Saccharomyces cerevisiae S288C: one gene and its partners. The gene in region 4 interacts genetically with the main gene of each other region. Each region holds a gene or a part of one and is shown on either strand. Other genes may lie near its edges.

Region 1 (3,449 bases), on a different chromosome or scaffold from region 4:
AGCTTGGAAGCTGGGACTACCTATCAAATCAACTTTTAGAATTTCACCCTGTACAGTTCCCACGTATATTTGCAGATCGGTATTGTCGATGAAATTGCAGCACAATAACGGATGTTTATATCGTAGCGATTGTAAAAGGTCAACATTCTTTGCTTGAATGTCGAATTTGTAGACTGTTAAAGAGCCATCCCAAGACGTAATCAAAAGCAGTGACTTGGAAGGGATTATTTTGATGTCGCTTATGTAGTCTTTTGGGGCCTGCTCAATTTGTACTATCTGCATGCCGCGACTGTTGTGTTTTCGTGTTGCAGATATCAGATAGCTTTTCTTTCGCGATGTGATATTTTTTTCGTTCACTATTTTTTGTATTCTCGGACATGCAGATCTCCGTTGGTATATGTATGAGTATATAAATGGAAGATAAATTAAACGGATGATATATTATGCAAAGGGGTGTCTGCCTCGATTATTTATCGTTAACTCAATTTTAATAGTTAAGTTTATGAGGCTTGGTTGTCACCGAAAGTTGGTCGTATCTTAGCGCGTTTTCTTGTATCCAAGTTTTCCTCTTCGTCTTCCTCACTGGAGTTTTCTGGTGACAGTATTTTTCTCTTAACTGTGTTTAACGACTTTATTTTTGTATTCAATTCGTTGTTTCCTTGAATATCAATCCCCTGGGCAGTTCGTAGAGGGGTTGTTGGGGGGGTTCCGATTGAGTCTTTTTGGGCCTTCATTTGCTTTCTCAAGTCGCTCGCCTCCCTTTTTAACTGTCTTAACTTCTTAATTTGATCTTGCGTCTTGAAGAAATCTGGTATTTGGGATTCAAGAAATGTGACCCAATTATCACAATCTGAGTGGATTTGGTAGTCTATAATGCCGTGCCAAGAGGATTCGCCAATGGGTGTCTTGTTTACGAGAATGATCAGGCCGCCACGATCGTGAATTTTCTTACTTAATTTTTTTACCAGTTGTTTCACACCATCAACTTTCAAACTTGTACCCATGATGATCAAAAAATCAGGATTGCCTTTAATTATGTCAAGATTTAGGCCTTGCGTAATAATTTCACAGGATGGATGGTTTTCACCATACAGGACGATATTAGGTCTTAGAATACCCACATTAGAACCAAGAGTTCGCTTTCCTTCATTCAATCTCTTGTTGATAAGTGCTTCGCAATCCGGACACAATGGTAACTCACCTCTTCTTAGACAACGAGACCAGTACCTGCTCCAGGGAAAAGTCTGGAAGCACTTTGTACACGAAAGAGTTTTCAGGTCGCCGTGCAACTGAACGACATCCAGATTTTTCCAATGTGAACTAAATGAGGTAAGCGGTAATTTCCTATTTGATAAAGTAAGTCCTATGCTTTCTTCGAGCCCATCGATGTTTTGCGTGTAACAGCGCAGCAGTTTGTTCCTATCTTTTAGATGCGCAATGAACTTGTGCGTCTTAGTCGGCTTTGCCAATTGAACATTTGAATAGAGCCTCTCCATAAATTTAGCAAAAATGGATATTTTGAAGTCATCTCTAAATAGCGAAATATCAAACATTTCCCTGCCGGACTTGATAGACCAATACTGTGAACAATCCTTTTTCACTAGGTCGTAGAGCCCATCAGAAGAGCGAAAGTCAGGAATGCCCGCGTTGCACGAAATGCCTGCCCCAGTCAGACAAGCAATTCTCCTAGATCTGCTCAACTGCTTGGTTACGCGCCGGAGAACTTCATCGTCGGCATCAAGACCTATAATATGTGCCAGTTTCTCAGTCTGCAAAGAGGACGGTAAGTCGGAGCACATTGAGCCCGATCGACTGGCAGGTGGCGAGGGCGATACTGAAGTCATTTTTGAGAAAGATGGATCTAGTTGTATGTAAATTAATCCCTTCAGTTTTTACACCACTAACCACGTATTTGCCCTTGCTTGTGTTATATATAAGACGTACGCCAGATATAGTTCTCTGGCACGAATAACATTGCTTGCTTTTATTGACGTTTTACCCTTTGTGGTAACAGCAAACATAAACGTCGTTCGTGATGTTGAGTTACTTATTGTTACCCGCAATTGAGGGATACCCGCCACAGAAACACATGCAGTGCATTTGCCACTGTGCATAGCCGTAGGAAGAGGGAAAAACGAACAGGGAAGAAGCAGGAAGAGCAGACAGCAAGAACCCGTGCTAAGGAAGGTGATGAACTTTGGCCACTGAAGGCGCATTTTACCTCTGAAGGATCCCGTTTCCACATTTGTAAGCTAGTGTTCGTTCATATAAACACCCTGATCTTCGGCATTTCACTACTCTTCGGGCTCACGCTTCTCATCCAACACTTTGTGTATATGTCCATCTCCTCATGATGAGTCCCGCCCAAGATAAACTGCAGCACCAGCATCATAATCCTAATTCTTCCTCATCGTCATCCTCTAAGATGACGAACGTTTATCAGGTTACCACGCCAAAGTCTCCTCAGGATTTGGAAAACAACATGGATGAGCCCTTCAAAATGGACACCGCCACCAGTAATCCGGACAAGGATAGCGAAAATACCCAGCGGTTGAAGTACGAATGTGCCAAAGGGGAAATACAGAATGTTTTGAACCTACATATAATGCTAAACCACAAGCATGTTAGGCACTTACGAAGAAATGTTCAAAAGGTTAACGCAAAACTAGCTCTCTTGGAAACCCTGCATAAGGATACTGGTCTATTGAACAAAATCGAACGGACGTATCAACTCAAAATAAAACAACATCAGCAGCATAGCGTGCTCGGCGGCCACTTTCACGACAGTACGGCTACGGAAAATACGAACGCATCAAATTATAACCTGTCATACCCGGTTCTATCGGATTATAACATCAACTGTCAGCCTTTGTCTTCGAGCAGCAACAGAAATCTGTCAACAACACGCATACCACACCACCATTATCATACTAGAAGCAAGAGTAACGGGCTTTTGCTAGAACCTTCTGCCCTCCGTCCGGCAAATTCGAATATAATTGATTACAGGCTAACAGGTTCTAAATCTCTATCAGAAGCCATAACCAAGCCCACTCCCGTCTCGCTTCCTCACTCTAATTCGGATGGCATTTCTTCACCTCGTTCCTCCTCAATCTCCCCCTTAGACGAGCAGCCGGGGTTCCAGATACTCCCTTTTAAACCAAGTCAGATGCATCTTAACCACAGACGTAATTACAGTAGCACTTGTTTGACGAGCAATAGCGGTATCATCGGTAAGACTGAAAATAATGAGCCCATTTTTAGAAGATATGACGGCATTTTGGTTATAATTACGTGCTCCAAATGTGACCGTTCCGGTTTCACTTCCGCGCAAGGTATCGTGAACCATACTCGACTAAAACATTCTAAACTATATTCAAGCCAACCATTGGCAGTTTTAAACAACCAAAAACTACTTCCTAATGATAAGCAGGATCCGGAAATTTTATCTA
Region 2 (6,032 bases), on a different chromosome or scaffold from region 4:
TTGCGGAGATAAAAAAGGTCGTTCTATAATAAAGAAAAAGGCTCCTCAACGCAAGATACAAAAGAAGAAGTTACTCCAAGATTTGGATGATTTAGAAGAGCAATTTAGAGAAGAAAGCGCAATTGATCAGACTGAATTTGAAAACGCTGAGTCTAATGTAAAACAAAATATATCCTCGAAGAGGGCATCTTCTGGAGACGAGAACTCTAAGAAGGATAATAATGAAAAAACTTTAAAGACAAACTTGACGATAGGCGACAAAACCCAAGAACAAATAGGGGAAAATAGTCCTAGTAGCGGATTGCATGCGTCTTCAAGCAATGATGACAATTTCGATGATGCCCAGGAACAGCAATAAATTATATAATATTTAATTTTATGTGTCCTAATGGACATTTGAGTTCCTTAAGATGTTCAACAACTTAGAAAAATATAGGTAATGATAAAGAATGAATCGCATGTATTGTTTTAATATTATGTCAATACTTTGAACTTAAAAACAGAGTAAAGAAGTGGTTCTAAAATTACACGTATTAAAGGGATTAATTACTACATATTCATTCTCAATCATCACTATCACCTTGGCTCAAAACAACTCTAGACTTTTTGCCAAAAAGGCGGATGGCCTCTTCATCTTCATCGCTTTCATCGGCTGCACTCGCTTCCAAAGAACGCTTTGTAGATTCTTTTCTGCTATACACCTCAGATTGGAACATATTTTGCGAATTTGATGGCTGTGATGAGCCCAAACTATTTCTTGATTCCGAGTTGACATCGTCATCAGAGAGTTGATTATTATTGTTATTATTTACATCGAAAATAGACATTTCAGATGCCACGTGGCTTGCTAAAGAAATGAGGCTTTTATCTGGCGCAAAGGAACTACTTTCTGTAGCTCTTATGCTTTCAATACTTGGTATGGATCCACCAAACAAGCTCGTATAATCTCCTGTCACAACACCCCCATTATTCATCCTTTCCGCGGCAAATTTGGCAAACTGGATATATCTATCCTCGGTCAACTGACCATTGTTTTTATCTAGTAACCATCTCATATATGTTTCGTTTTCAAAAAATATAGGGTTCATCAAATCCTCGTCATCTTCTGAATCACTAATAAACTCTTTACTGAATACGCCATGGCGTTCTCTAACGGTCTGAGGTCGTTCATCATCCTGGTCGCCAAACATTGGCAAATTAGTCTTGGCTTCTCCTTTCCTACGCTTCCTCTTATCTTTTTTTTTGGATCTCGCAATCCCTTTACTGAATTTGGTACCTTTAAGTTTATCTGATGCATTGTTATCTAAATCCTTGAAGTATGCTGCGTCGCTTTTCGATAAAATTTGATCATCTGGAACAATGTAGGGATCGTTGTAATCATAATCATCGTCTCCTTCCCATCCATCTTGTTCATTGTGAGAAAAACTATCCTTTTCTGAACGAACTCGTAGAAGATAGGAAGAAGAAGGCAGTCCGTTTGGAGTTTCAAATGGTGTTGATAAGTATTTTTTCACTAGTTCACAAGAAACAGTCAGGTCAGAAACTTCAACAGTCCCCGGTAAAAAACAAGGTTCATTGATTTTACGTGGAATGGAGTATCCTATCAGCAACAATAAAGCCCTGTAGTCCTTATCTTTAAAAATAGGGTCGTTGTTGAGTACACCTGTCAATGTGAAATATTCATTGGGTGGATTAACTGTTTCTTTCCCAGCATTAACATTTACGGTTAGCCACGACTTAAAAATATCTAGTGTGTGGGTTATATGCTTGAGCAGTTGGTCCAATAGTTCAGTTTTTCCATCATCAAGTAATGTGGAAACTAAAACACCATATTTCATATCCAACAAAATCGAAGGTGGTAAGGCTTCTTCATCGGGAATTGGTTTGAACTGTGATGCAGGAGCGGCATACATTGATTCATTATTAAGTACATTATATTCACCATATCTTTGGTAAAATCCTACTTCACTATTGTGTAATGGCGGGAAAAGTAATCCAACAAACCAAGCAGGTGATTTCTTTAACCTTTTCTTCAACCTGGCGAGGAAGTAGTCTGAAAATTGACTCACATATTTCCTTGAACGAGACATTCTATCTAATCCGTCAGGTGAAAGCATTTCTCTTAATAATATTATCAAATCAAATCTAAATAACAATGCCTGTTCTTTTGCCTGAACAAATACTCTATGGAAAAAGGAAAATACTTTTTTAATGGAATCGTCCTCAAGCTCACGAAATCTTTCAAGGAAATTAATGTACGTTTCTATTACCGGTTCTGTCATATAGTTGGCTTGCACCTTTTGAAAATTGACTTCTATACTTCTTAAAGAAGAGGTTAGAATATCAAGCGCTTCATCTCTATCTACATTTTCTTCTTCTATCAATTTAGTAATATCACCTTCTGAAATATTAAACTTTTTTTGCCGTCTTGATTTGCCTTCAATAACTAATGTTTTATCGTCAGAGTATTGCTCTAATACTTTCAATACCGAGTGTGTTAGTTCAATGCAACTTTTCATGAATTGGAGGGAGTATTTGGAACCAATCTTCGGCAGATTTGACAGTAATTGTATTCTCTCGTCACTGAAAAGCCTACTTACAATGAATTCTATATCGGTCGAATCCTCTTCTTGAGCGGCCTTTGTACGGGAAACGAGGTTCAACAGTTCATTAAATGCAATCATACCAGCATGTGTCACTGTCCAATTTTTCAGGTCATATGCGCTTCTTAAAAGAGAAGACACTAGAATGAAAGTCACCTCTTTCAAGGCTTCTGAAACTTGCTTTATATCTGCGGAATTGTCGATTTTGGACCTCAACAACTGGTATTTAACAAACCATGCAAAGAAAAGTAAATATTCGACTTGCTCCAAAGTTACCATCCTATCCTGCTCAGTTGTGAAGTAGTTCGTCACACTATGCAACAAGATGTTAAAGCCGGAATCTATAAAGTTGTTGATGAATTCTTTGAAATGTTTACCATTTGATTCGGTGAAAAAAATAGCTTTACCGGTTTGTGAATTCAAGAGACTATTCGGTAAGCCCTCAGCTGCGACAGATTGATGCTTTTTAATTATTCTTTTATTCCATTTTTTGCTGTCATCTAGTTTTTGGAGCGCTATTTTTTCATCTACGAGAGCTTGGCTACCAGAAACAGTTAACCTAGTTTTATCTGGTGTTTGTATAGATAAAAGACCACCAAATCTGGAGTGTCTTGCAGATGTATGCTTGATAACGTTTTTTCTCATTTGGTGTTCCTTTTGTAATAACTTCGATAGTTCAAAACCTGCACTTGTAACAATGTTATTAGCAGAGGAGCTCTCATTTTTATTTACCACCTTTGAATGTGTCCCGGTTTCGAACTGTCGAGGGAATAGCAGTTCTTGGTTAACATCTTTAGTGAAGTAGAACATAATCTCCAACAGTGGGATATTGATAAAGTCCTGGTCAAACTCTTTTGATAAGGAGCTGGTCAGCGTTAAGAGGAAACCGAATACCTTGTTTTTATGGAATGAGGAAATAACCGTATTTAAAGAGATGTCATCCATAGAGACGTTTGGTGGCAAAGTATCGATAGATGTGATACCTTTCTTAGGCATGCTTTTCTTAGTATTGATAGTAAATTCACCGGGTTCTATAGCAATGACATTTCTGAAAAAATTCAAAACCAATTTGAGAACCATATTGTCCCTAGGAGTTCTTGATAATCGGTCGATTTTGATAACATCCAGAGCCAATCTAATGGCAGCTCTTAACACTTTACCACTTTCCATAGACAGAATCGTTTTCTTGTATACCAATTGATGCTTCTTTAGCTCACCATAGAGAGTAATTTGATTTGATGAAGACTGTTCAGTTACAATTAAAGGCCAAGTCATAAGGACCAATAGTTGTAGACAATTTAGCGCAATTTTATCGTAATAAGCTTTGTTTCTAAACTCTTCATGGTCTGGGTTGTTCTTTGCAAGCTTTGCTGCAAGAGAACATTTGTTTTCCCAATCTATCAGAATAGGTAACAGATCATCCGTCAAGATGCGATATTCAGCTACTGCCATTGCCACATCCCATCTTTTCTGCTGGTCATCCACTAGTTTAAACCATCTTTTCAGATCTTTTAAGCACGCCAAACAGTCATCGCCAAGCTTATAAGGGGGTGGGTCTATCTGGGAAGTATAATCCGGCCCACCGATGGCAGTTGCCAATAAAGCAATTCTTGCTCTAAGTACCGTCAGAGAGAAATCAGCCGCATTTGTAGTGCCTTGTTGCAAATCAGCAGACATAGTGTGCGCCCTCCTATATTAAAGATACACTAAACCCCACAAGCTAGATGGTATTATCATATGTGAGGCGACTTACGAACCATATCTCATTTGAAAAATCCTTAATACTCATTTTAATTTTTCATCGTAAACGCGTAATGCGGCAGTAAACGCGTCAAAGTAGCATAATGGAAGGGCCATTTCCACAGGGAAGCAATTCATACAGGGCACTACCCAGTTGTGATAGTAACACAGAACAGCTTCCTAAAGCAAACGGTAGGGATGCCTATATACAGGACAACTACTGGTTATTTCGCTGACTTGATATGAGAAGTGGCAGTGAAAACCAGCGTTATGAACGGTGAAACCGAGCGGGGATGGATGAAAAGTACGTATAACTCTGTATACACCTCACTTGGCTTCATAATGTGGTTCCGCCATCTGATTGCGTTGCTGTGGTCTTCAGAATTCCTGAAGGACGACGCAATTAGCTCTAGAGCTTCTCCAGGCATTTATTACGTAGGACCGAGAGCGGACTTAAAATCTGCAAAAGTCTTGGCAGGGGGCGGGGATAACAAGGCAATCTTATCCCATTTTTCACTAATCTCGAGCATATAAAAAGTAAATTCTATTGGCCTTGTTGTTACGTTAGGGAAATCCTTCTACATGATTATTGCTCTACAATACCGAAGTATTAACAATACATAAACGAGCAAGAAGAGGAGAAGAGAATATGAGTAAGAAACCAATTGTTTTGAAATTAGGAAAGGATGCCTTTGGTGACCAAGCCTGGGGGGAATTGGAAAAGATTGCGGATGTAATTACCATCCCTGAATCCACCACTAGAGAACAGTTTTTGCGGGAGGTAAAAGACCCACAAAATAAGCTCTCCCAAGTACAAGTCATTACTAGAACAGCAAGGAGTGTGAAAAACACCGGTAGATTTGATGAAGAGCTTGCTCTTGCTTTGCCCTCCTCCGTAGTGGCTGTATGTCATACTGGTGCTGGTTATGACCAAATTGATGTTGAGCCATTCAAGAAAAGGCACATCCAGGTTGCCAATGTTCCTGATTTAGTTAGCAATGCTACCGCTGATACGCATGTATTTTTGCTATTGGGTGCCCTAAGAAACTTCGGTATTGGTAACAGAAGGTTGATCGAGGGAAACTGGCCGGAGGCAGGACCCGCATGTGGTTCTCCCTTTGGATACGACCCTGAAGGGAAAACAGTTGGTATACTGGGTCTAGGTAGGATTGGTCGTTGTATTTTAGAGAGATTGAAGCCGTTTGGGTTCGAGAATTTCATATATCATAACAGACACCAGCTTCCTTCCGAAGAAGAGCATGGTTGTGAATATGTAGGATTCGAGGAGTTTTTGAAGCGTTCTGATATAGTATCTGTAAACGTCCCACTGAACCACAATACTCACCATCTAATCAATGCAGAGACTATTGAAAAAATGAAAGATGGTGTAGTTATTGTTAACACAGCGCGTGGTGCCGTGATAGACGAACAAGCCATGACTGATGCTTTGCGTTCTGGAAAGATTAGAAGTGCTGGTTTGGACGTTTTCGAATATGAGCCAAAAATATCCAAAGAGTTATTATCGATGTCCCAAGTCTTAGGACTGCCTCATATGGGCACACATAGTGTAGAAACAAGAAAGAAAATGGAAGAACTGGTCGTTGAAAATGCAAAGAATGTGATATTGACCGGGAAAGTCTTGACTATTGTTCCGGAATTACAAAATGAAGACTGGCCCAATGAATCTAA
Region 3 (3,438 bases), on a different chromosome or scaffold from region 4:
AGCCTCATGGTAATCAGGGTGAAGGCGGCCGCACCATAAAATCTGGCCATTTGAAGAACCCTGCGTTTCTTAAGTTCCTTCTTCTCTTCGATCATAGTTTCGTTTCTTGATGAAGTAGGATAGTCGTACTAATTGCTGACAAACCCGTCAAAGAATCAAGTTCCCCATCCTAATAAGTATTAAAAGCGCCAATTTTTCAAGAGACTCGCGGCTGGTGAATAACGCTGCTCCTTAGAAAAGGACAGCCAGCGGATAGCTACTCAGATCTTCGACTGACTTTATGCATTTTAGTATTTATATATTCATTCGATCTATTCTGTTTACTTAAAAATTAAAGATGAGTTGGATGTGGAAAATTCTTGACGTTCCGCTGATATTTTGTGTTGGGGTTGTTTTTGGGACCATGAGATTGCCATGAACCGATCAATCTTGTCTCATCTTCAAGTATCTCTTCACCACTTCATCCTTCTTGATGATGTATACTACAGCTCCCCAGCCTGATAGAGCGTCACGGTCAGCAGCATTCAGTAGGGCCTGACTTATAGTTTCGAAAAGATCTTCTGGCTCTAGATTAGGTTCGTACAGGGACTCACACATACCGAACAGTTGGTCGGATGCAGTACCGCTAACGATAAAATCCTTGGCCTCGTCGATACAGCCGATTAGGTCGAATCCCGCAATAAAGGGCTTCCCGGACTTGGAATTAATACCTGCTACCACCGGCCCCACAAAGTATGGACCGAATCTTCTTTCATAAAGTGAACTTGACACTAATTGGGTAAACGTTTCAGGCTCAATGGCCCTTTCTTCCTTCAACTTATATAGGTTCGTCTTGTAGCGGAACATCTCGTTCAGAGTAGTCACGTCGGTAGCCAGACCGGTAATCCCTAAGAACACATGCCCATAGTGGAAGATTTTTTCAAACTTGTTCGACACACCTAGTGACTGGCTTCCGAGACGCAAATCACAGGCAATGGCCACACAGTCTTTACCTGTCATCGCAACGACGATACCACCGTTAATAGAACTTGGATCCGACATTTTTTTTTTATGCTTTATTCACTGTTCAATATTTTCACCACAATTCGCAAGAAACGCACTCTACTTCGAAACTACGGTTCAAACTTACTTAGCAGCTTCCCGATTTAATTGGCCTTTCTACTATGCCATAAACTCTTTCTTCCTCTCTTTTCATCGCCCCTGCATTTGCACTTTTTTGCCACCGGCAGTGCCATCCGGTCACATGACTACACCACGTTAATAGCGATCTGGCTTATCATTGTCACAGAGTAAATTAAAATGGACGGTAAATGTTGGAAATGCACCACTACCGTTCTTCAACCAATCTAGTTTAGCTATCCTGCAACAGGTGGCCTTCTTGAGCATTCCCTGAGCATTCCAACCGGTTGTATCAGTGTTTTATCACCGTCTCACCATATCCCACGACTAGGCCACACTTCGTTACCCTATGCTACGCGTCATTTCCGCTATTTCTGTCCTGGTTTGTTTACAGTACGCGTGGTGGGACCATAAAGGGGAATAGTGGGGACTGGAGAAAAAATTTTCTCAGTTACTTCTTCTATCTTCCGTAGTTTCCATATACTAGTAGTTGAGTGTAGCGACAAAGAGCAGACGTAGTTATTTGTTAAAGGCCTACTAATTTGTTATCGTCATATGTCTCAAGTTCAAGAACAACATATATCAGAGTCACAGCTTCAGTACGGGAACGGTTCGTTGATGTCCACTGTACCAGCAGACCTTTCACAGTCAGTCGTTGATGGAAACGGCAACGGTAGCAGCGAAGATATTGAGGCCACCAACGGCTCCGGCGATGGTGGCGGATTGCAGGAGCAAGCGGAAGCGCAAGGTGAAATGGAGGATGAAGCATACGATGAAGCTGCCTTAGGTTCGTTTGTGCCAATAGAAAAACTGCAAGTGAACGGGATTACTATGGCGGATGTGAAAAAACTAAGGGAGAGTGGGCTTCACACTGCTGAAGCGGTAGCATATGCTCCCAGAAAGGATTTATTGGAAATCAAAGGTATATCGGAAGCTAAGGCAGATAAGTTGCTAAACGAAGCGGCAAGGCTAGTGCCTATGGGATTTGTCACGGCTGCTGATTTTCATATGAGAAGATCGGAGCTGATTTGTTTGACAACGGGTTCTAAGAATTTGGACACTCTTTTGGGTGGTGGTGTGGAAACTGGTTCTATTACTGAGCTTTTCGGTGAATTCAGGACAGGTAAGTCCCAGCTATGTCACACTTTGGCCGTGACATGCCAAATTCCATTGGATATTGGTGGCGGTGAAGGTAAGTGTTTGTATATCGATACCGAAGGTACTTTCAGGCCGGTAAGATTGGTATCCATAGCTCAGCGGTTCGGATTAGACCCGGATGATGCTTTGAACAACGTTGCGTATGCAAGAGCCTATAACGCCGATCATCAGTTAAGACTTCTGGATGCTGCTGCCCAAATGATGAGCGAGTCTCGGTTTTCCTTGATTGTGGTCGATTCTGTTATGGCTCTATACCGTACGGATTTTTCTGGTCGTGGTGAACTAAGCGCAAGGCAAATGCATTTAGCCAAATTTATGCGTGCTTTGCAAAGGCTGGCCGACCAATTTGGTGTTGCAGTCGTCGTTACTAACCAAGTGGTCGCCCAAGTTGATGGTGGTATGGCTTTTAATCCAGATCCAAAGAAGCCTATCGGTGGTAATATTATGGCACATTCTTCCACCACGCGATTAGGTTTCAAAAAGGGTAAGGGATGTCAAAGATTATGCAAAGTTGTTGACTCACCTTGCTTACCAGAGGCTGAATGTGTGTTCGCGATCTATGAAGATGGTGTTGGTGACCCCAGAGAAGAAGACGAGTAGGTATTTGGTCTCTTGTCTCTATTTATTTACACAGGTTTACTTTCAATTCTCCTCTTTTTCTTAGGTTGCGTTCCGTACATTTTTATCTTCATTTCCATCCACTGTCTTAGATTTTTGCATATATTTTGTCATATACCTCGCAACCCTACTGCGGTCTTAACCTTTTTTTTCAGTTCTTTTAAATAACTTTCGTATTGTCTGTCACCCATGAAATATATGTATTTTTCTACTCTTCTTCCCGATGACTACTTCCTCCTGCAGGGTCCGCGCGGCTTTATCCTTTTAGGGGAGTGAAGAGAAAAATTTTCTGATATGTCGCCATCCTCTTATAAAACCAACGTAAAATACCATACACTTCTTTATGGCAATGAATTTCCTTGTCTTCGTTTCGACGTTTTTAAATTGAATAAAAAATTGTACTTGGAAAAAAGAATAGAACAATACTTTTGCTAACAGCAAGAGAAGTACGGTTGACATTACGAGTATCCCTTTGTTAAAATCAGGCAGTACCCATAATGTCCATGACTATTTGCTCAAATACTCCTGGTGCATACCCTGAAA
Region 4 (3,451 bases):
TGAGGGACAGAGAAGATTGGGGCCAAGCGCTGCGCCTATTGCTTTTGCTGATTGAATTCCCTTATTTACCAAAACATTACTTGGTTTTGCTTGTGGCGAAATTCCTGTACCCAATTTTCCTTTTAGATGATAAGAAGCTAATGGATGAAGATTCAGTGGCGACAGTCATTGAAGTTATAGAAACTAAATGGGATGACGCTGATGAAAAAAGTTCAAACTTATATGAAACCATTATTGAAGCAGATAAAAGCTTACCTAGTAGCATGGCAACACTTTTGAAAAATTTAAGAAAGAAACTAAATTTCAAATTATGTCAAGCGTTCATGTAAATCAGTATAGTAATGTCCTTCGGATGGTATATTAGGATATATGACGAAAATAAGTAAATTTAAACAACAATATATATTTATATTGATCTATTTTTCTATCACGTAAGTTGACATTTGTATTATACATTACATCACAATTAGTAATGGAAAGTGTTTGGAAAAAAAAGAAGATTATTTTGCCTTTCTTTTGAAAAAGCTTTCCAATGTTCCTTGCTTTTTTAACCTTTTATTCGATGACGGCGTTTCTTGCTTTTTTGAAGACGACAATGCCCTTTTTACCACGGGTGATGGCTTGCGTGGTGGTGTTGAAGTTGCGGGTCTCTTTGTCACAATATATCCATCCTCATCAATAAAAGAGGAGGGCTCTTCTTCAGATTTAGGTTCCTTTGAATGTTCTGTTTCAGAAGGCTTTGTTTGCTGTATTTTAGGTACATCCATAAGTGAATCTTCTGCTGTCGTTTCCAACAAGTCTTCTAAATCATCGTTGTTTTTGTCCTTATCGTTGCTGTCAGTTTCTTTAGGTGAGTTGGGCTTGGACCCTCCATTTACTTCCTCTGTATCTAAGTCATCTTCGACAAAAAGATTATTTAACTCTTTCATTTGAGCTTCTCTTTCAGGGTTCTGTTTATTTATTTTTTGCAAGTTCTCCTCTTTCCTTTTACGTAACTCATTTTGTCTAGAGGTTTCCTTGTCATCTCTATCCTTTTTCATCTTAGCCAGCAGTGCAGTAGACCTGAGACCCATGTCTTTAGATTTGGATTTCCTTCCGGTTGTTTCTTCTGGCGTGGTCTTTGATCTTGCTGTAGGCCTTACCAAAGGTTTAGATTTCTCTTCTAACGTCTTAGTCCTCTCTATAATTTTCGATGATTCAGAAACTTTAAGTTCGTATGAATTTTTAATGGTTAAACAATCCTTTTGATCGATAATGTCGTAATATGGTATGAAGCTGTCCATGGGATTGAAGGCATAGATGAAACAATCAATTATTGAATCTTGCTGTGGAATGTTGGAAAGATCATGAATAATTTTAATAGTTTGATCTTTGTAGCAGCATATCACTACGCAGTTGTATTTGGCATTGGTGGTCTGTTTGTAATAGTCAAACATTAATTTCTTGGCCATGGATGGGCCGATCTTCAAGTGGTGAATTAGATCCGTAAAAAGGACGGGCTTTACCTCAGTGAAGAGCTTCTCATTGATAAAATATGACGCCTTTTGATCCATTAATTACCGATTGAGTTAACTAAAGCCTATTTCTGGTTGTTAGTTAATGTGAAATATTATTTCGAGCTGATCTGATTGCGATGTAACGAACTTCTGCGTACTTTTCAAAATTAAGAGTTTCGCGTGTTTAACTCATACGCGTTTACTACTTCCGTCGGAAAGTTACACCGTAGTGGAAAATAGACCTATTCGTTAGTATAACCTTATTAAGGTACTTCCATTAATGAAGTGTTCTATATTGAGGCATACTGATCGAGAATTTTCATAAGGTGAAACGATAAAAATATAAAAATTAAGCTTAGCGCCGCTCGGTTTCGATCCGAGGACATCAGGGTTATGAGCCCTGCGCGCTTCCACTGCGCCACGGCGCTTAACTTTTATGAATATTTTAGACTTAATAAAGATTCATATTGTAAAATTAAAAACAACTTGCACACTGAGCTGTGTTAGAATGAAATCCTACTATAATCCATAGTAGTATTCATGTCACTAGCACATTACAAAATATGCCATAGGAAGATGACGTAAAGATTGAGAACTAGTCATCAGATATAATAGAAGCTGAAAAGCAAGAATTGATAATATCGGACGCTATCCTACAATAGCAGCGCAGTTGCATAATTTGTTATGTGTCGTCTTTATTGTGTGTAAAGCTTTATACACCTTTACCTTTGTGTAGAAGACAAAGACATTGTTGTTATCACTATGTCCACATTCGCTACGAGGATATTTTCAACATATCTAGTTGAAATACAAATCTCAAGCCACTATAAAAACTGCGGAATCAAACAAATGTACAATACATTATCCTACTAGAGACTAATTTCTCAAGGTTTGCAATCCCATCTCTTTTCATGAGGTATATTGCGGCACAGAATGGTTGTACGACCATTGCTCAACGTTTCCGCTCATAGATCGATTCAAATAAGATTATAGACATGTGGCGATTCAATGCCAATCCTTATCCCGAAATTACGGATGTATTCAGCCAACTTTGCCTATCTACATTATTCTGTCAACTAGAGGCTAAAGACACGAATTTCTTGGCATTTTTTGTTTGAAAACTTGAAATGGAAGAAAGACAGAAAGTAATTTTATGTAATCTATTATATTTAAGTAGTTCTAAAAAAAAGGAGAAATCGACGCCAGATTTCCCACCTTGAGTAGAGTATCATACTATATAATATCAATGTACGGTTCACGCACCCAGTTGGCTTAGTCTGTTGAGGGGATGAGTAATTGTTATATATTAACCAAAAAGGGAATCATCTTCGTTGAAATCTTTTTTGAAAAACCATTTAAAAATAACAATACTAGAATATATGATAAGACCACCGATCATGCACATGATACAACTCAAATGGCCAATCAATTGGCAATGATAGAAAACAACAGGGAGTGCTATACCGCTTGTCACCAGCATTCCTGTAAGGAAGTGAGCCAGATCTTGGCCAGTGTTTGATGAATCGGACATGAAGTCAGATGTGTGATATTTATTTCCTGCATTGAAAATTGTGTTTGGTATTGGGGCAAGCAAAAAGATCAAAATATCGAATAGTGGGTAGTAATTATGGAATAATGCGCAGCTTAGTATGACCAAAAGGAATCCCAATGCGAGGAATCCTGACAGAGAAATAATCTTTGTCAATGGTGACACTTTGAATTCCATCATAACCGTCTGGGATTTTATGTATTAAGATTCTTTGCCTTTTAGATTTGATAAATATGCGCCGATATTAGACGTGTGTGTGTGTGTGTGTGTGTGTGTGTGTGTGTGTGTGTGATTCCCCTTTTCTAGTTTTTCTCCTACTCTTTTTTTCTCAGTTTTTCGTAAAGTGGAGTGAAAGCCCATCTAAGAAAAAGGCATAATAAAATGTAATAATTTTGAGGAGTACATT

What was found.
Region 1: mutations in POL32 (region 4) and HST3 impair growth when combined (synthetic growth defect), as found in Saccharomyces cerevisiae (6 studies listed by BioGRID, with this or other methods).
Region 2: mutations in POL32 (region 4) and TOF1 together harm fitness more than expected from each alone (negative genetic interaction), as found in Saccharomyces cerevisiae (9 studies listed by BioGRID, with this or other methods).
Region 3: mutations in POL32 (region 4) and RAD51 impair growth when combined (synthetic growth defect), as found in Saccharomyces cerevisiae (14 studies listed by BioGRID, with this or other methods).

The regions. Positions count from the first base shown.
Region 1 is NC_001147.6:376,614-380,062, reverse strand, and holds HST3 (NAD-dependent histone deacetylase HST3), read right to left. Parts: upstream 1,845-3,449; coding exon 501-1,844; downstream 1-500. Other genes in the region: BUB3 (Bub3p), read right to left, coding at 1-282; AHC1 (Ahc1p), read left to right, coding at 2,351-3,449. UniProt on the Saccharomyces cerevisiae protein: NAD-dependent histone deacetylase, which contributes together with HST4 to histone H3 'Lys-56' deacetylation, regulation of telomeric silencing, proper cell cycle progression, DNA damage control, DNA recombination, and genomic maintenance.
Region 2 is NC_001146.8:121,131-127,162, reverse strand, and holds TOF1 (Tof1p), read right to left. Parts: upstream 4,281-6,032; coding exon 564-4,280; downstream 1-563. Other genes in the region: guanine nucleotide exchange factor SEC2, read left to right, coding at 1-358; GOR1 (glyoxylate reductase), read left to right, coding at 4,993-6,032. UniProt on the Saccharomyces cerevisiae protein: Forms a fork protection complex (FPC) with CSM3 and which is required for chromosome segregation during meiosis and DNA damage repair. FPC coordinates leading and lagging strand synthesis and moves with the replication fork.
Region 3 is NC_001137.3:348,306-351,743, forward strand, and holds RAD51 (recombinase RAD51), read left to right. Parts: upstream 1-1,674; coding exon 1,675-2,877; downstream 2,878-3,438. Other genes in the region: AIM11 (Aim11p), read right to left, coding at 1-95; PUP3 (proteasome core particle subunit beta 3), read right to left, coding at 424-1,041; SHC1 (Shc1p), read left to right, coding at 3,393-3,438. UniProt on the Saccharomyces cerevisiae protein: Required both for recombination and for the repair of DNA damage caused by X-rays. Its function may be modulated by interaction with other repair proteins. RAD52 interacts directly with RAD51, via its C-terminus.
Region 4 is NC_001142.9:515,961-519,411, forward strand, and holds POL32 (DNA polymerase delta subunit POL32), read right to left. Parts: upstream 1,554-3,451; coding exon 501-1,553; downstream 1-500. Other genes in the region: NUP85 (Nup85p), read left to right, coding at 1-329; VPS55 (Vps55p), read right to left, coding at 2,803-3,225. UniProt on the Saccharomyces cerevisiae protein: DNA polymerase delta (DNA polymerase III) participates in chromosomal DNA replication.